Linked DNA regions of Macaca fascicularis. Each later gene encodes a partner of the first gene's protein in a complex. Links are inferred from orthologs where the notes say so. Each region holds a gene or a part of one and is shown on either strand. Other genes may lie near its edges.

The links. Proteins that work in one complex are often made in the same cells at the same time.
Region 2: PHLDB2 (region 1) and liprin-beta-1 share a complex: the UniProt entries of both Homo sapiens proteins name them as parts of the cortical microtubule stabilization complex. The link is inferred for Macaca fascicularis from reciprocal best matches to the Homo sapiens genes PHLDB2 and PPFIBP1.
Region 3: PHLDB2 (region 1) and PPFIA1 share a complex: the UniProt entries of both Homo sapiens proteins name them as parts of the cortical microtubule stabilization complex. The link is inferred for Macaca fascicularis from reciprocal best matches to the Homo sapiens genes PHLDB2 and PPFIA1.

Annotation. Positions count from the first base shown.
Region 1 is NC_088376.1:171,345,771-171,353,381, forward strand, and holds the start of PHLDB2 (pleckstrin homology-like domain family B member 2), read right to left. Parts: upstream 4,376-7,611; 5' UTR 4,269-4,375; coding exon of another isoform or gene 4,166-4,268; intron 1-4,165. UniProt on the Homo sapiens protein: Seems to be involved in the assembly of the postsynaptic apparatus. May play a role in acetyl-choline receptor (AChR) aggregation in the postsynaptic membrane.
Region 2 is NC_088385.1:30,261,459-30,268,938, reverse strand, and holds the start of liprin-beta-1, read right to left. Parts: upstream 5,070-7,480; 5' UTR 4,913-5,069; intron 2,190-4,912; exon of another isoform or gene 2,030-2,189; intron 1-2,029. UniProt on the Homo sapiens protein: May regulate the disassembly of focal adhesions. Did not bind receptor-like tyrosine phosphatases type 2A.
Region 3 is NC_088388.1:4,396,155-4,403,460, forward strand, and holds the start of PPFIA1 (liprin-alpha-1), read right to left. Parts: upstream 5,070-7,306; 5' UTR 4,972-5,069; intron 4,116-4,971; coding exon 3,852-4,115; intron 1-3,851. UniProt on the Homo sapiens protein: May regulate the disassembly of focal adhesions. May localize receptor-like tyrosine phosphatases type 2A at specific sites on the plasma membrane, possibly regulating their interaction with the extracellular environment and their association with substrates.

The sequences.
Region 1 (7,611 bases):
CTAGCAAGAACCCCTTTGATACCTTATTTTACTCATGGGCACATGGGCTTGAAAGATTTTTTGACTTTAAGGCGGATTTTATTAAGTAACAATTATTGTCTTTATTTTCATTACTCTATGAAAATCTAATTAGAATAACAGTATTACCACACTCACCTGTTAGAATTCTAGCCCAAAGCAAAGCAATCAATATTTGAATGGTCTCTGCCTGAGAATAGGCTGTGTATTCACTTGGCATTTTTAATTTCTGAAAATTTAAATAAAAAGCTTGTAGGCCCCATTCCTACCATTTGTAGGACTTAGGAATCCAGGGAACTGCATGAATATTTAATTTAAAAAAGAAAAAAAAATTTGGAGTCCCAAGACCTAAGGGACTTAGCTGAGTGAGACTGAGAAGGGCATTCACCTGTATAAGTCTCAGGTTCCTTATCTGAAAGGATATCATCTGAAAACAGTACTCATCTTACAGGGCTGAGGTGAAGATTAAATACAACTATTGACATACTGGACAGTTTTGAAAAATGTAGCTGATTTCAAAGACTGAAATTTCACTGCAGAAATAAAATTTTTAAAAAGTTGGGTATAATAAATGACAAATTTGTCTTGTACATTGCATTAAAGTCAATCAATCAAACAAACAAAACAATGTTTATAAACTAGGAGATAAGAACAATTTTCTCTCTCAGCTTCAGAAAGGAATCAAAGCACTGACTCTTGGGCAATTGCTGTTGTGTGTGTGTATATGTGCATGTATGTTTTGTGGTTCCTTTTCTAGAGAAAGGAAAACCACTGTCATATTGAGTTTTATGCTTATACTCAAGTACATCAAGAACATCTGGTGTGGGTGGAAAGGGGGAATAAATATGTACTCTAAGGATCCGATCAAATAATTTAAAAAGAACTTTTTTTACTCTTTTACATGTAGAACGTGAACAGTGTAGACACTGTTGGGTGAGTATGTTTCCCAGAACAGAATGCTGAAGAACATGGGATTTGGAGTCAGACCTCAACTCAAATTTTACCTCATCTTACTAGCTCTGTGACTTGGGCAAGTTGCATAGGTTTGTTATGAAAATTAAATGAAAAAAAGTGTAGATAAGAAGGCAGCAGTTCATAGTAAGTAGTTGATACAGGTGAAATGTTGTGATGAGTCTTTGTGTTTTAGCTTCAACTTTCTTTCTCCTAGTGTTTTAGTTAATGAAAATGATGGCATGTAAATACAGTTCATGCGAGGTCAGTTGATTAGTAAAGGGTACTAGTAGACATGGTGATGCAATCCCTATTTGTAATGCCTTTGCTATCACACACTTGAGATACGTGTGAGGCAAGTCATTAGAAACCCTTTGTTCAAAGACATTTAGTCGACCTCATTTCATGATGGCATTTCTTTATCTTGATCTTGTAAATGCTCAGGAATTGTGGCTGCTTTGGAATTTATGACAGACAGCCAATGGAATCTTTAGGACATATCTGAACAAAAGTGAAAATAGGGGTGGGGGGTGGATTAAGGCTTCTACTGTACATTACTCATTCACTGCTCAAATGACACCAACAAGCCATTTAGACTCCAAGCCGACATGGGTATCTTTGGATTGCAGATGGTGAGAGCCTTGATAGGAGGGACTATTGATTGTTTCTCTGGCTTTAAGCCTCTTTGTGCCCAAGTCTCTTAGATTTAGATGAGTGGATATTTGCTGAGATGAGATAGTAAGTAAATTCTTGAGGTCCTTGGGAAAGACTGAGATAGGGTCATTTCTTCTCTGGAAATAGTTCAGATGTTGTACTTTAGTTGGGGCTCATGGATTTGAGTCTACAGTATAAAAAGGGGCAAAGACCTAGCCTGAGGATTAGCTGGGTTATTTAGAAAATATACAGAACAGAGAAGACTCCAGTGACTGCCACAACTAAAAACACTTCCTTTTGCTCTTGCCTGTTCTATCCTTTTCGGAAGTCCAGTACTGGCCTTTCGGTTACAGTGGCTCAGGCATGGCACATCCAAGAGCCAGTGGAGAACTTCTGACTGTATTGGTCAGCCTTGCTTACCTCAGTGACCCTTCAATTTACGCTTATCCATATGGTCATCTCCATGACCTTATGGGAAAAGCACTGGGTTGGGAACAAGGTAGAACTGAGTAGAATCCAGGCTCAGACTAATTGCATGATTTTGGACAAATTAATTAACTTCCATATTCTAACTACCTAACATTTAAAAACAATGACAATGCCTATCCTAATCTAGTTAATCTGAAGAGTAGTCTTCCTCTACTTACTATCCAATATTCAGGAAATGGAAAGAAAAAGCTGGATATACCCTTAGGGGCTTCCACTGTGTTTTAGGCCCTGAGGCAGAAGCTACAAAAAAAGGACAGATCAGACCTGTGTGTCTGTCCCTAAGGCAGCCTTCGGTAATGTGGGGAAATATGGCCAATGCATAATTAAAAAAAAAAATTTTTTTTTTGTAGAGACAGAGTCTCACTTTATTGCTCAGGCTGATCTTGAACTCCTGGCTTCAAGCAATCCTCTGCCTCACCTTCCAAAGTGCTGGGATTACAGGCATGGGTCACCATGCCCAACCTAGCCAATCATTTGATCACCCCAAGATCCTTTTCCCTCGTCAAAACCACCTCCATCACTTGTATTATCTATAAACATCCTCTGGATGCCAGCCAGATTCACACTTAACATTTTGCAGTGCTTAATATCTTCACAGAAATGTATCAGTTTTCCATAATTCTCCACAACATTCTTGGGAGGTAGCACAGACTTACCCAAAATCACACATGGGTTTGTGTCTACAATGGCCTCCACTCTTGCATCTAGTTAACTGCCTCAGACACTAAATATTCAGCCACAAACCTTACCTGAGGTGAGTCACTTCGGTTCCACAACTGATTGACAAAAATAATGTCAAACATTACCTTGTCCTAGGTGACCCAACTGCTTCCCTAAAGGGAGTTCAGAAAAATAGGGCCTCAGCATTACCAGGCTTCTAACTAATGACTATAGGAGCCAGGAACCACTGCACAGGCCTGAAAGTTGTATGTGGTGACAATATAACAACATTTCTGCAATTAGAGGAGTTATATTCAGACTTAAGGAAGAGTGAATCATACTTGATAAAAATAACATATTTCTAGAATGTATAGACTTGAAGGGGAAAATTTCTATGTTTTCTTTGGTGATTACTTTATAACTTTATTCTTCCTCAAGAATCACTCAATAACTTGTTTCATAGTTATCATCTCCTTCTTCCCCATAGACCTCCAGTGATGAGGGAAGCTCCCTCCACAGCCACAAGCTCTGTACCTAAAGTGGCATTGGTATCAGGTTTGCGTATTAGTTTTGCTCATGCTTGTTTATCATTGAGCTGGGAAGGGAAGGCCTTGGGATATTTACTATTCTAGGAAGGAGAAAAACTTACTTCTGGTGAGAAGAGAATCTGGACTATAGCTTCAGAGAAGCATTTCTTCTATGTTTCCCATGTCTTTTCTACAGAGGGACTCAGGCCAGCAAAGGCTTTGGTGGTCCTCCACTCAGGGTAAGAAGCAGCCTAGTCCCAGTAAATGATTGACCTGGCTGCCGATGTGATAAGCTTAGGTAAATAGGCTTGATTCTGCTCCAGTAATTTCAGAACTTTTAACTCTCTAGGTTCCAAAGCAGAAAAATACACATGACTTCCTGAAAGAGTCTGTCATATGAGATTGACAGCCCTGTGAGTGGACCGTATATTTCTCAGAATATATTATTCTATACCATGTACTACAATATACTTACACTGTCCTCTCTGGTATGTCTTGAAAATTGAAAAAAATTATGCAAGGAAAATTCTGGAACAAAACCATGCTTGTGGAGCTACCACCAATGAAATCATTTTAACAAATCACACATATAATTTGTTATAATGAAAAATTTTTTTAAAACCTTCCAAGTTTCTGAAATACGTACAGGGGCAACAACAATTTTCAGAAGAGATAGAAGACAGAAGGAAAATACAGCCTGCTTTCCAGAATAGGCTGATGGAAAAATGACTGAATTCAGACACATACCCAGGTCTACCATATCTCCTTCAGCAGACCATCCTCAGAGACACTCTGGTGACAAGGCTGTGTACGGTGCTCATTTTGTGATCATGAGAGAAGGGCCAATGACCCAAGAGATCACCTACCTTGTCTGCTGCTTTTCAATCCTGACTCTTCCCTCAGCTTCTTTCCTGACTCAGCAGAGATGACCCACGGCTCTTCCAACCATTGCTGAAGAGAGTGGAACATTGGGAAGACACATTAACACAGGTTTCTCCTTTTCCCCAAGCATGAAGGTGAGGTGTTCCTTTCCACTTCCTTTCCTGCTCTCTCTGGCCTCTGCAGACAGTGGTCACAGGCAGCAACTTGCTTGCAGCCAGGTATGTTGACAGATGTGAAGGAGGGAGTCTGCCCTGGCCTCAGCCACCTGGTCTAGCCAATCATTACACACCAGGACAGACTCCTAATCCTGTTTAAATTCAACCAGAGCTGCACAGCAAAATCAGATGGCAGGACTGTAGGGGGCAGAAAGCACAGTCTGATAGCCATTGGCTATCCAGAAAAGTGATTCCCTTGTAACTGCATCTGGGAAGTGGACAAGAGGCCCTGAGAATAGTTTATAGAGGAAACGAAATTTTTATTCCTTTAGATTTTAGCCATCTCAGAGGAGATCTGCAGGTCACTTTATCAAATGTCCCATGTAATAATGGAGTTTCTTCTATTAAATTCTTGTATGGTGAGAAGCATCTGGCAGTTTTTCAAATAAATATGGCTACCATTCATTGAGAGAATGTTATATGTTATGCATTTCATGAATATTACCACAAATCCTCATGGTAATGTTGAGATTTTATTTCTTTTTTATGCATGAGGGAACAAAGGCTCAAAGGGGTAATGGTCCTGCAACTAGTAGGTGCTGAAGCCAAGAATTGAATCCAGATCTGCTCTAAGACCTGCACCAGCATCAGTAAACCTTTCCATACATTCTGTGGTAGGTTGAGTTATAGCCCCCCAAAAATGTCCACATCCTAATCTTCAGAATCTACGAGTATGTTATCTTACATGGTAAAGGGGACTTTGCAGACGTGGTCAAGTTAAGGATCTTCAGATGGGAGATTATCCTGGCTTATCCAGGTGGGCCCAGTGTAATCACAGGGGTCTTTATGAAAGGTCAGAATAAGACAAAGAGATGTGATGGCCTGTAATCCCAGCACTTTGGGAGGCCAAGGCGGGCGGATCATGAGGTCAGAAGATCGAGACCATCCTGGCCTACACGGTGAAACCCCGTCTATACTAAAAATACAAAAAATTAGCTGGACGTGGTGACAGGCACCTGTAGTCCCAGGTACTCGGGAGGCTGTGGCAGGAGAATGGTGTGAACCCAAGAGGTGGAGCTTACAGTAAGCGGAGATCACCCCACTGCACTCCAGCCTGGACAACAGAGCGAGACTCCGTCTCAAAAAAAAAAAAAAAAAGAAAGATGTGATGACAGAAGCAGGGTGAGCGATTGCTATGCTGCTGGCTTTGGAGGAAGGGGCCATGAACTAAGGAATGCAGGCCGCTTCTGGAAGCTGAAAAGGCAAGGAACTGGATTCTACTCTAGGGCCTCCAGAAGGAGCATGGCCACACTGACCATTTTAAACTACTGTTGTAAGTACTGAGTTTGTGGTAAATTTGTATAGGGACTATAGAACATGAATACACATTCCCTCAGAAATACTCTTTATGATGGTGAGATCACTGTCTCACTTAGCTTCCTATTCTACAAAGGAATACTCTTTATCAAGCTAAGCTCGACCTTCTTTTTTTTTTTTTTTTTTTTCATGATACTTTAGGTTCTAGGGTACATGTGGATAACGTACAGGTTTGTTACATATGTATACTTGTGCCATGTTGGCATGCTGCACCCATCAACTCGTCAGCACCCATCAACTCGTCATTTACATCAGGTATAACTCCCAGTGCAATCCCTCCCCCCTCCCCCCTCCCCGTGATAAGCCCCGGTGTGTGATGTTCCCCTTCCCGAGTCCAAGTGATCTCACTGAACAATGAGATCGCTCGATCTTCTTAAAATGGTCATTCATTGGTCCTAGCTCTTCCCTGCACATAAGGCACTCGGGGAGGCAGCTGGAAATGGTGGCAAACAGCACTGGGAAGGGAATCAGAATCTGGATTCTAGTCCCACCTTTGCCTTAGCCAGTCGGTTCTCTCTGGCTTTCAGTTTTCTCTCCTATAACATTAATGCCTTGTACAAATGTTCTTTGATCCCTTCTATATCTAAAGCCGTAATATTCTAAATTCAAGTCATGCAACAATTTAAAAATACTTGAAGATATCCCTGTCACCTTGCTCCAAATGTTTCCTGTTCCAACTACCCCAGTTTTCCATGTGACATGACTTCTGGACCCCTCCCTCTCCAAGTTGCTCTTCTCTAAGGCGGCTCCAATTTACCCATTTCCCTCTGAAATGTGGTGCCCAAGTCTTCACATAGTGCCCCTGCCATTTCTTGTCTCCTAGTGTGCCTGGTTCTGCTGGCTCCTCTGACCACACTCTCTTGCTGGGTCTCATCTAACTATTCCTTAGGATCCCTTGAACTTGGGCTAGTCTATTTCTTTTCATGTTGTTTGATCTGAACTTACCTCTCGAAACAGAGCACCTACAGTGAGCAATTCTACAAGAATCTTAGATTTTTTTTTTTATAGGAAGGACCAAGACTTGCCAGTGCTAGCCTCAATTAGTCAGCTTTGCTTGCTTAATAACATTTAAATGATAATGCATTCTTATAGGCATTTGAAAGGCAGTGGTTTATCACATTTTAAGATGATAAATTCCTTGAGAATTTGATGCAAGTTATCGGTCCTCTACCAGAAAAAAGTGCACATACATCTAAAATTGTATGTGTCAGTTTGGGGCATTTCAGCCCCCCTGAAGTAGTCCACTGCCCCTCTGATGTTCACACAGGTAAGTTAGTTCTACACTCACAAGTTTTGGTGGGGGAAGTTTTTGCAAAAGGCAGCTTAATGTTTTCTTCCAGATCTCCTTACACTTCATGGAGGTCCTAGAAACACCTTCTGGAACTGGATTGTGCAAATGCCCAGTGAGGATCAAGGTAGGAAAGTCTCCAGGCTAAAAAGCAGCTCAGTCCTCAGGTTAAACAAAAACCAGCATTCAGTGGCCTCCTTTTACAAGAACATTGCTTCTTATGGCCTTTCTCTACAGGATAAATCCTATTCTTTAGATGCTTAGTTCCTTAGATTAAAGCCATCTGCCTGCCTAAGGCTTCTCTCAATTGCAAGATGCTACTGGACAGAGGCTGACACTGTTGTGGCCTCCTCCCCACCCATGCTGTCCAAAAACACTGCCCAGCTGTGAAAACACCCTGGTCTGACTAGTGCTTTAGTCTCACTGGCACTTATCCAGGCCATCCCGGGTGAGGTTTGAGGCACATGGGCTTTGGCCACTGTCCCTCCCTTGCAACCTCCCACCCTCTCTGAGAATGAAAGGTTTCAAATCTTAAAAATAATAACACTCCTTTGGTCATACCGAGTAGATTTGCAGAGGGATAAACACGATCACGTCTTGCTGATCGGGA
Region 2 (7,480 bases), on another chromosome or scaffold:
CTGAGAAAGAGAAATATTGGTTTAAATTAAGTATGTAAAATTACTGCTATTACTCAAACTGTGAATCAAATTTAGAGTTTTGGTATATTCAAGTCCCTCAACTAGGACTAGTTTCTTGGAAAGAAAGTGTAAATCTGAATTTGGCACATAAGGATAACGTCCTAAAGATACTCTTCTCTACTTAACCGTCTGGCTTTTGCAGCCCCATCTTTTGGTATTACAAATGCAGTTGGAACACTATCAACCAAGGAACACTACACTGAGTTCACATTATCCCACTCCACAGCTCTATCCTACTGAAAAAGTACACTGGAAATATGGTATGTTTTATGTACTCCCCATAGAACATAAATAGAAAAGACTTGTTCACCATTATTGCAGGGCCATTTGCAATTTTTGTGTCTTAAGCCAAAATACAAACCAAAATTAAAATGTTCTTGTCTTTCCAATAAAGCAAATTTTCCTTTCTCAAAAAGCCTGCTATTTATCCACCCTATTTAATTTTTGCAGGAACTAAGAACAATACAGACCCAGGTATGTCATAAACAACGGCACAACCAAACACTTCTTTCTAGTTCTGAAACCTAATGATCATCTGGCTAGAAAGATAGAGAACCCCATGGATAGTCCTCTATCCCATTTCCTGACTTGGGTTTACTAGAGGTACTATTGTGGCTTCTTTCTTTCTCCATCTCCTGGAAATGCTTTTTCCTTCAGGGGCCTGGGATATGGATTTTGACTCACAATGAAGTCCACTCCCATTTCCTCCAGACCTGGCAACAGTAGGATCCTCACTGCTAAGGAGGAACTTCGGTGAAAGAAAGGGGAAACTTGACTCAGGAGTCTCAGCGCTGACTTTTTTTTTTTTTTTCCTTCCTGCTCCAGAAGAGAGCCTTAAAGCACTGATGAGAGGGTCCTGAATCAGTGTATGGAGTCAATTTCCCCGCCCCTTCGAGAAAGTCAATCACACCCAGTTAGTGACCAGGGCACACAAAATCTCCACACAGGAAAAAGACAGCGTTTGAAACAGGAAATAAACAAAAATCAGAATTCTGTTCTTTCACTTCTTAAAGTATCTTTTCACTTCTTAAAGTATCTTTTTCCTCCCGACAGGCAATTGCTTTCCCAAAATACCAAACTTGGACTTTGAAATCAAGTTCTCTTTCTATTGCTCTCCGCAGTTCTCACTGAAAGAAAGGATTTGTTTTGGTCCCACATGTTGAAAAATTCACGACTCTATAATTAAGAGTTTATATGCCACGCCTTCTACCGCATTTCCCTGTTAAAACTCCCTTCTCTAAAAGAGATCCCTGAAAACACAACTACCAGCCCACCTTTAAAGCAGCCACAGGAAACAGATCTGAAGATTCTCAGCAGCCATCCTAACCCCTCCAAATACAAAGTTGGCAGCTGAAGGGATTTCTCGGTTAAAATGAGCGAATACTAGTTGCAGTTTTAGAAGTGTGCCCCCAAGAGACGAGTTTTCCCACAAGCTCATAATTAATACACACCCCAAGTGAATTTCTCACGTCCTGACTGGATTACACAAAAGGATATTTTACATTGATATATAAGAATAACACTGATATTCTTTTAATATATAATAGGCCACAAGGAGACAAAAAAAATACAAAACTTTTTTTCTTTTCAACGAGCATAATTTTTGAGTCGATGATTCATAATTTTTTTGCGGCATTTTAAAATCCCCCAATGTAGAGAGACACACACCCCTCTGGTTGGGGTTCTCAGGTATTACTGGGAACCTAGGGTGTGGGGGTCTAAGGATACAGACAAGACCTAAACGTCCAATCCTGGAGTATTCTTCACGTACAAGCTCGGTCGGAGCCCCAGGAGTTAAGCCCTACCCTCCACCCTTACCACCCCCCAAAAGTGCCCGTTCCCATTGGGAAACAGGAGTGAGTTGCACAAGGAAATCGACCCAGGGAAGAGGAGGAGCAGCTGCAACAGCCAGCTGCAGCCACACGGTGCCACTTCCCTCCCGTCTCGTAGTGGAGCAAAACGCCCTTACCTGGGGGGTGGAGAGCCGCCGGCACTAGTTCCAAAAGTTCTCGTCCACCTCCTCTTGGAGCTCAAAGCCCCAGCACTCCGGCCCGTCCGCCGGCTCGCAGCACACGAGTCCTTCCCCGTCCCTTCCCCACCCTGCCTGCACTACACCATGTCAGGAATCCGGGCAGGCACCGAGCTGGGAGCTGACATCACTCCCAGTTCAGGTACTTCCCCCTCCCACTGCCGCCCTTCTCTCCTCCCTCCCTGCAGGAATCAGCCAAAGAGAGTCAGCAGTGGGGCGGAGCCGGAGGCGCCTGCGCGCCCGCTGATTGGAGCCGGGGAACGTCACTCAGAGGAGTCCACTAATTTTATACATTCCTCGCTGAGCCAGACTAGGGCTGAAAGTGGGTGGATGGAAGAAAATGCTGCCCTTCCTGCTATCTCTAAGGAACGGAGATAATGCGATGGGGAAGAACCTGGCGGGTCGAGTTTTAGACTTTTCTTGTTGTAGTTACTGAGATTGCAGATCAGAAACGAAACTAACCCACGCGAACCCCCTTTTTAAGGAGAAACAATTGCCTCAGTGTCACGGGCACACGGGCATGTACGAGCCCGGCGGCGCGTGGTGTAGAAAATGGCTAGCTTTAAGCCATGCAAATAAAGGAAAACGTCAGCTCACCCTTCTGCCCTTTTATCCTGGGACTGCTGGGTGTTCCCTTAGACGGGGAATGTAGAGCTTCAAAAGCACTTCAGAAAGATTTGGAAGCGACTCCTGAAAACGGTGACCGAGCTTTGAATTGCTAAGTGGTGTTATCAGCCACATGGCTGCTTTTGCTTTTAGCGATGAAAATCACACCACACAAGCTTCTCGGGCAAGTAAAATTGAATCTCTGAAGCAAGAAAAATTTATTTACTCGTTTAAAGACCTTAAGGCTGCTGTTTTAATGCACACACTGAAAAGGGTGGAGGAAGGAGGGACCTCACAATTGAGTTCCACAAACCACATGAGAATAATTACTGTTGAATGGAACCAATTGTAGTGGCTGAGCTATCAATTAAGAATTAACTAACGTTTATCCTTGACAGATATCATGCGGTATAATCCCCTTGGCTGACAGAAGAGAAAGATTCTCAGAAGATGGTTCTTTCAAGGCAGATGCTACTTAGAGGCAGGACTGAATGGTGAAAAGCAGCTTTATTTGTGTGAGATATAGGTAGCATATAACCCACCATCTTCTAGAAATATAGTGAATTAATAACTTTCTTTTTTTCTCTTTTTTTTTTTAAAAAACAGCTCACTCTGTCACCCAGGCTGGAGTGCAGTGGCACGATCTGGCTTACAGCAACCTTCTCCTCCCGGGTTCAAGTGATTCTCCTGCCTCATCCTCCGAGTAGCTGGGACTACAGGCGCCCACCACCACACCCGGCTAATTTTTGTATTTTTAGTTGAGAGGGGTTTCTGCCATGCTGGCCAGGCTGGTCTCGAAATCCTGACCTCGAGTGATCCACCTGCCTCTGCCTCACAAACTGCTGGGATTACAGGTGTGAGCCACCGCGCCAGGCTTCATTGTTTTTTGATTGATGACATGCCTTACATTTCACCGATCTGCCAAAAATTGTAGAGGGATGCACAGAATCCAGCATTGTGTCTTGTTTAATCTTCCCAATCATCCTGTAAATTGAGTGTTATTAGCCCTATTTTAACATAAGGAATCAAAGGCTCAGCAAAGTTATGTAAGTAAATTTCTCCAGATCACCCGGAACTTGGATTGAAACCAAGGTCTATTTGACTCCAAAGCCATAGTTTTTCTTTCCATATCTCAAGTATTGAGTGTCCATAATATATATTTTTTCAAACAATAGAATGCTACAAGAAATCCACAGGCTTGGGCCACTGCCCTCACAGACCTACTTTGTATCATTACCCCCTTGTTGCTTGTCAGGCCTGCACTATCCCAAACTCTTGACTTGAATTTCTGACTCCAGTTTCCCCCAATTCTAATTCTTTCTCTGTACCACTACCAGATGAGTTTTCTAAAATGTTTGGTTTTGTCATCAACCTCTTCCCCTCTAAATCAGGTCCCCCTTTCCCGGCAATTCTTTTCTAGCCATTTAAAACTCTCCCTTATCTGGCTTCTACTTCCCTTTCCCAGCTTATCTCCTACTTCGCTCCCAGGAAACCCTCTCTGTAGTCAAAACAGGTCTACTCACAGATCCCTGCTTCATTCTCACCTTTCGGCCTAACCGGAATCCCCACTCATCTGTGTGTTAAGTCCCACCCTTCTCTCAAAGCCTAATTAAAGTCCTTGTCCTGTGCCAAGACTTAGCTGTGTGTTACAGCGGACAGAAAAAAGGACTCAAGGTTCTTGGCCTGGCTCTGCCACTTACCTATTGGGTAACTTTGGGCAAGTCACTAAAACATCCATCCCTAATCTCAGTTACCTCCTCTTTAAAATAGGGCTGACAATACCTACGTTAAAGGTTGTTATAAGGATTGAGATTGTAGAGATGTGTAAACATGTGGTTATACATGTCCAGTTAAATGCCTTTCCTGCCTTCCCAAACTCTGAAGAGCAAGCATATTGCTTATAGGACCTCTTTATATTCCTTGTACCCAATTCAAGGAAAAGGCTCGATAAAAATACAGGGCGTGAGAAAATGGATCATTGTATCATTTCTATTCTCTTCCATTCTTTAAATGCACTGTATCCCCAAATAATATCTCAGACAAAAACTAACTGTTTCTTCTTGTTCTTTTTTTTTCCTCTCTCTCTCTTTCTATCTTTTTATGCTTTGGCCAGAGCCCTTCCGTTCTCCCACACCCCTACCCACCATTTGTTCAACACCCTTAACTCCCTCAGATTACTTCTGGACCAACTACTTCACCTTTCTCTTAGCTACTCACCCTTCCCTGTCCCACAGTCAGGGACACAACTTGTCCATCAGTGTCTGTTGCCTGTCTTGCTCCCAGATGCCTTCAAACAGAGGCTGGGTGGCTACCAGCCATTCCTACAGCCCTAGTCAGGACGGCTGCATCCAGGCTCACATTCTTCCAAAACTACAGGCAGCCGCAGGAGATGGGGGAGGGAATGTCCCACCCCCACAGAGATGGCAGGATAGAAAAACAGGAAGTCGCCTCCCATCCTCTCTGCAGCTGGAGTGATAACAGCTGCCATCCAGAATCCAGAAAACAAAAGACTCAAAGGGAAGGCTGAAAACAGGCCAGGTTTGGAGCAGTAATGTTCAAGCTAGAGGTTACAGGGTGGGTGACGAAGGAACCAATGGTTGAGATTTCAGCCTCTTTCCCGCCCCCCGCCCCCGCCTCTTTAACCAGAGTTACAGCTCTTTTATCTGCTCTACATTTAGGCTTCACCATGATACTTCATTTTTTGAAGACAGTGTAACCCTTAAATAAACATACTGAAATCACTGGCCTCTGGGTATCTTGGGGAAACTCCAAAAAAATCAGGATAGTGCAGCAGAAGCAACACAGGATGCCTGATGAGAAGGTAACCAGAACTTACTCACTATCCCGGCTCCTAGCTGGCTTAGTGCAAATGATTATTTATGATTCCTATGGTTTCAATGCTAATTTACTCTGTAGGTCTAGATATTTTCTGCCTAGTTATTCCTATGACCAGCCTCACCTTTGGTAACTTTTTGCCAAAGAGAACCACTATTGGGGGCTAGGGAGCAAGAGACACCGCGGAGCAGGAGTAAACTACTCAATTAGAACTTGAAATGGATCCTAAAAGTCATTTGATGCAACCACTATTAAAATGCAAGAAACCCTTCATCAACATTCCTTACAGGTAGCTTCCAGCCCCTGCTTGAACTCATCTGGCAACCAGTAACACACACAAAGAAGCAAGCAGCCCACCATTAAAGATCTTTCTCATCTCCATCTAGATCCTGCTTTACTGACTTTCTCCCCAAAGACATCTGTCTTGTGTCTCATTTAATCGTCACAAACATCCTGTAAGTGTTACTAGCATCATTTTGACATGAGGAATCAAAGACTCTCCAGGGTTATACAAGTAAATTGCTCCAGATTGCCCAGAACTGGGATTGAAACCAAGGTCTAGGGGCCGAGCGCGATGGCTCATGCCTGTAATTTCAGCACTTTGGGAGGCCGAGGTGGGCGGATCACGAGGTCAGGAGATTGAGACCATCCTGGCCAACACGGTGAAACCCCATCTCTACTAAAAATACAAAAATTAGCTGGGTGTGGTGGTGGACACCTGTAATTCCAGCTACTCGGGAGGCTGAGCCAGGACAATGGCTTGAACCCGGGAGGCGGAGGTTGCAGTGAGCCAAGATCGCGCCACTGCACTCCAGCCAGGTGACAGAGCAAGACTCCGTCTCAAAAAAAAAGAAAAGAAAAGAAAAAGAAAAGAAACCAAGGTCTATTTGACTCCAAACCTATTTTGTCTTTCTATTTCTAAAGCATTGATTGTCCACAATTTACACTGTCGTTTCTGCCCTTTGCAGTAACAGAACAAGCTGACTCTCTCTGTCACCCCATCCCCAAACCTGAGCAGGCATGAGGACATCTCCCCTACTTTGGATACGGATGCCATAAGAGGCTCACCCTACTCATCAAGTCCACATCATTTGCCTGTCTGGGCTTTATAGGCTTCCAGGTGCAGCTCTCTAAAGCACAACCCTGATCACTCCTGACTCTAAAAACTTAAATGACTCTCCCTTTACCAAGGAACAAAACTCATCAGGCTTTCTTGACTAGTGTCCAAAAGCCTTCACATCCTTGCCCCCAACTTACCTTTCTGAACTTATTTTCCACTCTTCTTCATATCCCCACAGTGCATGAACTGCATGACTTTGCACCCATATTCCCTAATAATATGTCCTCACTGTGATTTTTGCCCGTTTCTACAAAAATCTACCTCACAGTGTGGTTGCAAGGATCTGACAAGATGTCATATGCAAGATGACAGAGCACCTTGCCTGACACATCATAGGTCATAAGCAAACATATTTTCCTCTTTCCTATGACATAAAACAATCGTACTGTTATTTTTATAGGTGCCTTATGTTCCTTTCTGGCTGCAAGTTTCTTACAGCCCTCAAGAACAGAATGCTAATTTATTTCATCTTTACATCCTTTATAGGATCTAGAACCATGTTTTGTCCCACAGATATTGATTAAAGATTCACCAAATGAATGAATGAATGAATGCTGTCTTTTGCTCATAACCTGCTATGGTCTAGGTCTTCAGAAGTTCAGGAATAACTTGACCAGACTGATCACAAAGGATCCGGGTGCCTCCAGTTGTTGTTATCCCAGTTACACTGCCAAACGCAGAGTGGGTTAAACACATGGTATAAATCATGAACCCAAATCCAAATGAAACAAGCTTAGCTTTAGAATTCCTTCTAAAGGAAATTACTGCTTATTCTGTCTGATCCTAAGCATGGCATTGGTGATAATCCAGACATTATTTTAATATCCTTT
Region 3 (7,306 bases), on another chromosome or scaffold:
TAAAAAAAAGTAGAAATTGGCCGGGCGCGGTGGCTCAAGCCTGTAATCCCAGCACTTTGGGAGGCCGAGGCGGGTGGATCACGAGGTCAGGAGATCGAGACTATCCTGGCTAACATGGTGAAACCCCGTCTCTACTAAAAATACAAAAAACTAGCCGGGCGTGGTGGCGGGCGCCTGCAGTCTCAGCTACTTGGGAGGCTGAGGCAGGAGAATGGCGTGAACCCGGGAGGTGGAGCTTGCAGTGAGCCGAGATCACGCCACTGCACTCCAGCCTGGGAGACACAGCGAGACTCCGTCTCAAAAAAAAAAAAAAAAAAAAAAGTAGAAACTAATGCAATAGAAACAAATGTAAGTAGAAAAAAAGTAAAGCTAACAGTTGGTCCCTTGAAAGAACTTACAAAACTGACAAACCCTCAAGACTGATTAAGAGACAATATACGAATTACCAATATCAAAAATTATTAAAAGGGGACATCACTACAGATCTTGCAGATAATAAGGACTGTAAACCACTTTAAACTTACAAATTGGAAAGTCTGGGTGGCCTGAACAAATCCCTAGCAGGGAAAAATGCTTTATCTAAATAGACACATGAAGAAATACTCAAAATCCTACATCTACCTATAAAATTAATTCTAAAAATACTACAGGAGCTGGTTTTGCCAAAGAATGTTTTCAAACATTTAAGGAAGGTAACACAAATTTCGAAGGAACTCTTCTAGGGAGTAGAAAAAGAAGGAATATATTCCACCTTGTTTTACGAAACCAGCATAACCTCAATACCAAATCCCAACAAGGGCACTGAAGGAAAGTAAAATTACAAGTCAATCTTTCTCGTGAATATAAATGCAATAATCCTAAACAAAATATTACCAAATACAATCCAGTAAAAGGAGAATACATCAAGATCAGGTTGGAATTATTCTACAATTGTAAATCTTTTTTAAAAGGGAGGTGCTCTTTCTCAGGAGTTCCTGAGGTTGTTTCCCCAGGCTACAAACAATAAGCAATTAAAAAAAAAAAAAAAAGCAAGGTGCAGTGACGTGCATCTATAATTCCAACTACCTGAGAGGCTGAGTGGGAAGATCACTTTAGCCCAGGAGTTCAAGGCTACAGAGAGCTATGATGGCGCCACTGCACTCGGGGCTGGGTAATGGAGCAAGACCCCACCTCAAAAATAAACAAACAAATAAAAACAGTTAAATTCCCACATAACAGAAAAATCACATGACTGTCTCAAAAGATGCAGAAAATCCATGTTAAGAAATATAACATCTGCTCATGGTATTTAAAAAACTCTTGGCAAACTAAGAAGAGAAGAATTTTTACATCTGGATAAAGAACATCTACAGGGCCAGGTGTGGTGGCTCACAATGGAAATCCCAGCACTTTGGGAGACCAAGGAGAGAGGATTGCTGGAGACCAGGAGTTTGACACTAGTCTGGGCAACCGAGTGAGAACCTTTTTCTTAAATTACCAGATCTCAAGACAGACTATATCTACGGTAATTTAGACATTGTGCTATTTATGCAAAGATGACAAAAAGATCAAAGGAGCAGAAGAGAGTCCAGAAACAGACCCACACACTTACAGTCACTGGACTGAGATGACATAGATGACACTGCATGTAGTACACTGGGGAAAGAATGGTCTTTTTAAGAAATTATGCAGGGTCAACTAGATATCCATTAAAAAAAAAAAAAAAAGAGAGACTCTTGGCCCCATCACATACCATAAACAAAGTCAATTTCAGACAGAAGATTTAAAAATACAGTTTTCAGAAGACAATGTAGAGTATCTTCATGAACTTGACCTAGCAAATTTCTTAAGCAGGACACAAAGAGCATTAAACATTACTGAAAAGATTGATCAACTGGGCTACATTAAAAATTTAAAACTTCTGTGTATCAAAAGATACCACTGAGAAAGTGAAAAGGTAAACACGAGAGTCTAAAAACAATCTGTCATGCACATATGTACTCAGAATATAGAGAAAACTCCTTCAAATCAGTAAGAAACAAAATAGACAACCCAACCAACCGATGGGCAAAAGATAACCGTCTCACAAGACATCCAGATGGTCAGTGAACACAGGAAGAGATGCTTTACCTCTGCATGTTCCTGGCCATCAGGGAGCAGCAAATTCAGACCATACTGAGCCACCTACCAGCTAACAGCCACCAGAACAGCTAAAATTAAAAGACCCAACAAGGCCGGGTGCAGTGGCTCAAGACTGTAATCCCAGCACTTTGGGAGGCCGAGACGAGTGGATCACGAGGTCAGGAGATCGAAATCATCCTGGCTAACACGGTGAAACCCCATCTCTACTAAAAAATACGAAAAACTAGCCGGGCGAGGTGGCGGGCGCCTGTAGTCCCAGCTACTCGGGAGGCTGAGGCAGGAGAATGGCGTAAACCCAGAAGGCGGAGCTTGCAGTGAGCTGAGATTGCACCACTGCACTCCAGCCTGGGGGACAGAGCAAGACTCCGTCTCAAAAAAAAAAAAAAAAAATTGTAGTAATAAAATTCGACCTTCATAAACTTAGTATTTTATAAGATTAAAATGAGAAAAATCTTAATGATTCTCTAATCCAACAAAAAAGGAACATACAGCTCTAATGTCAAATCATTGTTGCTATAAAGGAAACCCACGTTTGGCTCATCAATCTTCCCAGAGAACTGACTACAGCCAAGAAATACATTAAGGCTAGTAATTATTCATTTACTAAGTTATCACTGCAGACCCATCATGTGAGTATAAATGTGTGTTTCTGCGGGTCTACCTGAATGCACCCCAAAGGCACTTAGGATGAGTAACATGGGGCCTAGACAGCTCTGAAACACCTAAGTAACCCACTTCTCTCCCACTATGCTCCGTGACACTCACCTGACACTTTTCTAGTTTTTACACTTTCTCCCTTTACCTACCATTAAGCAAATCCTCATTCAACTCCATGAGCAAAGTCTTTCAAACACTGGTCCAAATGTAATATACTCAGAGAAATAATTTCAGTTGTTCTAAGCTTTAAATTTTTTTTTTTTTTTTTGAGACAGTGGTGCAATCTTGGCTCCTCTGCAACCTCTGCCTCCCTGTCTCAAGTGATTCTTATGCCTCAGCCTCTGAGTAGCTGGGACTACAGGTGTGTGTTACCACGCTCCACTAATTTTTGTATTTTTGGTAGAGACAGGGTTTTGCCATGTTGGCCAGGCTGGTCTCAAACTCCTGACCTCAGGTGATCCGCCTGCCTTAGCCTCCCAAAGTGCTGGGATTACAGGCATGAGCCAACACACCCGGCCTAAGCTTTAAAATTCTCGTCTACCAAGGAAGAAGTTCCTAAGGAATCAATCTCCAGTCTTCTATCCCCTAAAACAAATGTGACTTACAAAACCTAGATGTTCTGATAAAGGTGGGCTATCAAAATAATATTTTTTTCTGTGAAATCCTATTTGTCTACTAAATTATATTAGGAAATTAGAAACACATGAGACACAATCCATGGGAAGCACAAGTTTAGCAAGAGAAGGTTGAAGACAACAGACCACATAGATTGGTTGCTTCAGAGCCCTTTTTCAGAAACTCTGGAGAACTTTCTGAACCTAGGCAGTTCCCAAAGATAGGAATGAAAATAATGAGGTATTTTCACATGACTTTAGAGTACAACAATTTGTTCTCCCTAAGAAGTTTAATCCCTAGGAACTTTGTATTTGACTTAGAAACACCAGAAACCATCATTTCACAAATGGTTATGGAAAATACTCATCTGAAACATTAACAAAAGATGACACCAATTAAAAAAAAAAAACATTTAGTGGAGAATAATCTACAGAGTCTCAAGTTAAAAGCACTCATACCTGTGGAAGTGCCGTGTTGAGCTGTCTCTGCAAGGAATCTCTTTCATGACCAACCTCATGTAACTTCCCCTGGGTTAAGGCCAGCGTTTCTTGAGTCTCTCTCAGTGTGTCAAGAAGGCGGTCCCTTTCTTCCAACATGGAGACCATCAACTGTTCAAAATGTGAATCTGCGTCTGGCTGCGAAGGGGAGCCGGAACCATGGCTTCCACCTCCTCCAGGGGGGCCTTCTGCTTCGCTGATGGTCGGCATCACCTCGCACATCATCTTGAAATGAAAGAGCCAGGCTACAGTCATCAAGTGCAGAATACAGGTTCCCACAAATATGCAACTTTACAGGTATCTGTAGCTAAAAAGAGGGGCAGCCTCATTATCCTCAGATCTGTTACGCTTTGTGTGTAAATAAGCTGGGAAAACATATACCGGGCAAATATTAAGTGCAGAAATACACAACATGAAGACATTAACACAGACCAAAATCCAGGGAAGGGGTCAAGATACCAGAGGACTACCCTCACAAAAAAGGGCAAACCCTGGGGTAGTCTGTTTGCAAAGCTGTACTTGTTTTTGTCGAAAACAAGTGTGCTTCTGTTACCTAATTTTTTTTTTACTTCCCAGTGGGGGGGGGGGGGGGGAAGAAAGTCAAAACACATGTCACCCAATCATTTTTCAGGAAAAGCACAGAAGGAGCATACAGCCAGCAAAACTGACAAGTACAAAATCCATCAGGCATCTTGCAGGAATGTGTGCAGTCAGCTCCTGTGAAGAACTGACGGCTCCCTGAATTCTTGAGCTGGAGCTGGTGAGCACTAAAAGGAACTGGATTCGTTAAACGCTGGCAGAAGTGTTTTTTTTCAATGGCTGCAACGGTTGATCAGTCAACCTAACTTACGTAAGTTTACAACCGAAAAAAAAAAAAAAACTCACAATGGAAATATAGCAGGTCGATATACAGCCGGAGGCGGCTAGGAAAGAGGGAAAAGTGAAAGGTGAGATGATGAGAGGCTATTAAGTGTCTGGGATGTAAAGACAGCGCGAGGGGATGGGGAAGTCGCTTCTGAGTCTTTCGGGCAGTATTCGGGGCGCGATGGACCCCTGAGAGAGGATGGCCCAGGCGGCGCACCTGATGGGGATGACCTCCAGCCTGCTCGAACCGTACTCCTTCCCCTCCTGTATCAGGTGCGGCGGGAGCCCCGGACCCCGGAGGTGAGGACCGTTGACAACGGAGCCCGCTCGGGCCGGGGCTTTCAGCGGCCGCAGTTCCCCGCCCCTCGCCCCAGCGCCCAGGTCACGGGGCGCAGGGCTCGGGGAGGGGCGGCGCGCAGTCCCCGGAGCCATCCCTCGGGGCGCTGGGGTCCCGCCAGAGCTCTCCCAGCGCGACCCGGCGCCGCGGCCTCGCCCCCACCCGCCCCGGAGCGCACCATTCCTCGCGAACACATCCAACCGGCTGCGTGGCCGCCGCGGAGACCGGGACCAGCCGGTGACGCCTGGGCCCCGAGCCTGCCTCAGTGTCCCGCTCCCTTACCTTGCTCACCGGCGGGAGCGGGCGAGGAGGCTCCGCGGCGGCTCGCGGGCGGCTGCTCGCTCCGGGCGAGCTTGGGAGCCGACGAAGGCAGCCCGCGGCCGGCGTCCGCCTGCCCGCCCCACGCCGCGGCCCCGGGGCCCGCCGCCCCAGTCACTAAGGCCGGCCCGCGGCCGGACACTGGCGGAGCGGAGGAGGAGCGGGCCCGGCTGCGCGGCGCCGGCGTCGACGTGCCCGACGTCGAGCGCGTCGGCGCGAGCGTCAGCACCGCCCCGGGGGCGGGGCCCGAGGAGGACCGCGGCCCGAGTGCGCAAGCGCTGTCGCCTCAGGAGGGGGCGGGCGGCTGCTCCGGGGAACTGATTGGCTGAGCGAGACGGGAGCCACGCCCCCAGGCCCCGCCCGGGTCGGTGGGGGGGTCTCCGGGATGAGCCACAGGTGGGCGCTCAGGTGCTCGCCGGGTCAGCGTCTTCCTCCGGGCATCCCTAGTCTCCTCCCACTGCTGCGGGGACGCCGGCGGCCTTTGCCGAGTATGTGCCGCGCCTCGGGTTCTGAGGCGGACGCGTCCCGCACGTCAGGTCCCTCCCGAGCTGGAGGCGCTGGATTCGCACCTTGTGAGGAAGAGCGAGCCGAGGCTTCAGCCACTGCCGCGGGCCCAGACCCCTCCCGCCGCGTCGCTCCCAGGGTCTCCCCGGGCCTGATCGGGGTTCAGCAGGACGCGGTTCCCCCCAGGACCGACTTACGGAGCGCAGCCTGCTGCACCTGGGGACGCTCCGGCGCAGCGTCCAGCGTGCAGGCTTTGCCGCTGTGGCTTTCACTCTGCAGCGTGGGCCCGGGCGATTCGGGAAGCCCGCCTGGGCTTCAGCGCCTCCGATGTAGGATGGGAAAATGATGCAGACCTACCTGCGAGGCTGCTTTAAGATATGAATCAGATGTGAAGAGTGACTAGTTGAGAACCTGACGGGCGGCCCTGCAGAAGTCTTGGTCATTTCATTCTTTCCGCAAGTTTTGTTTTGTTTTGTTTTCCCAGACGTTGTTTCACTCTCGTCGCCCAGGCTGGAGTGCAATGGCGCCATCTCGGCTCACTGCAACCTCTGCCTCCGGGTTCAAGTGAGTCTCCTGCCTCAGCCTCCCGAGTAGCTGGGATTACAGGCGCACGCCACCTAGTCCAGCTAATTTTGTATTTTTAGTAGAGACGGGGTTTCTCCATATTGGTCAGGCTGGTCTTGAACTCCCGACCTCACGTGGTCTGCCCGCCTCGGCTTCCCAAAGTGCTGGGATTACAGGCGTGAGCCACTGCGCCCGGCCTCAGCAAGCATTTTTAAACACCTACTGTGGGCCAAGTCTTGTGCTAGATGTTGTATTTACGGAGATGAATAGAGACACCTCTAATTAATGAAAGAGGGTGCTCTCCCCACTCCTCCCAGGGTTTGACTTGGCGCAAAAACTCTTCACAAACCAGAATGACAGGACACCATCGCCAGTGTCCACTGGCCACCGTTGTTGGTGTGAGGCAGCCAGGAGCCCCTCAGAACTAATAAGTCTGAGAAGAGACTGCACAGGGGAGGGAGAAATGAGCCCGTCCAAGGTGAATTCCTTGATTCTCCATTGTGAGTGCACTAAGAACAAGCACTGCCTCCGACTGACTTTCTCGCCTGTCAGGATCTGGTACACCTTCCATTAATTTATTAGTTCATTCAATAAATATTTATTGACTGACTACACATAAATATGAATTTGTACTTTTTGCCCCTAGTTTCTTGCTATTTTAAAAGTGTAAAAATGGCCAGGTGAGGTCGGGTGTGGTGGCTCACGCCTATAATCCCAGCACTTTGGGAGACCCAGGCGGGGAGATCACTTGAGGTCAGGAGTTCAAAACCAGCCTGGCCAACATGGTGAAACCCCATCCCTACTAAAAATACAAAAATTAGTCAGGTGT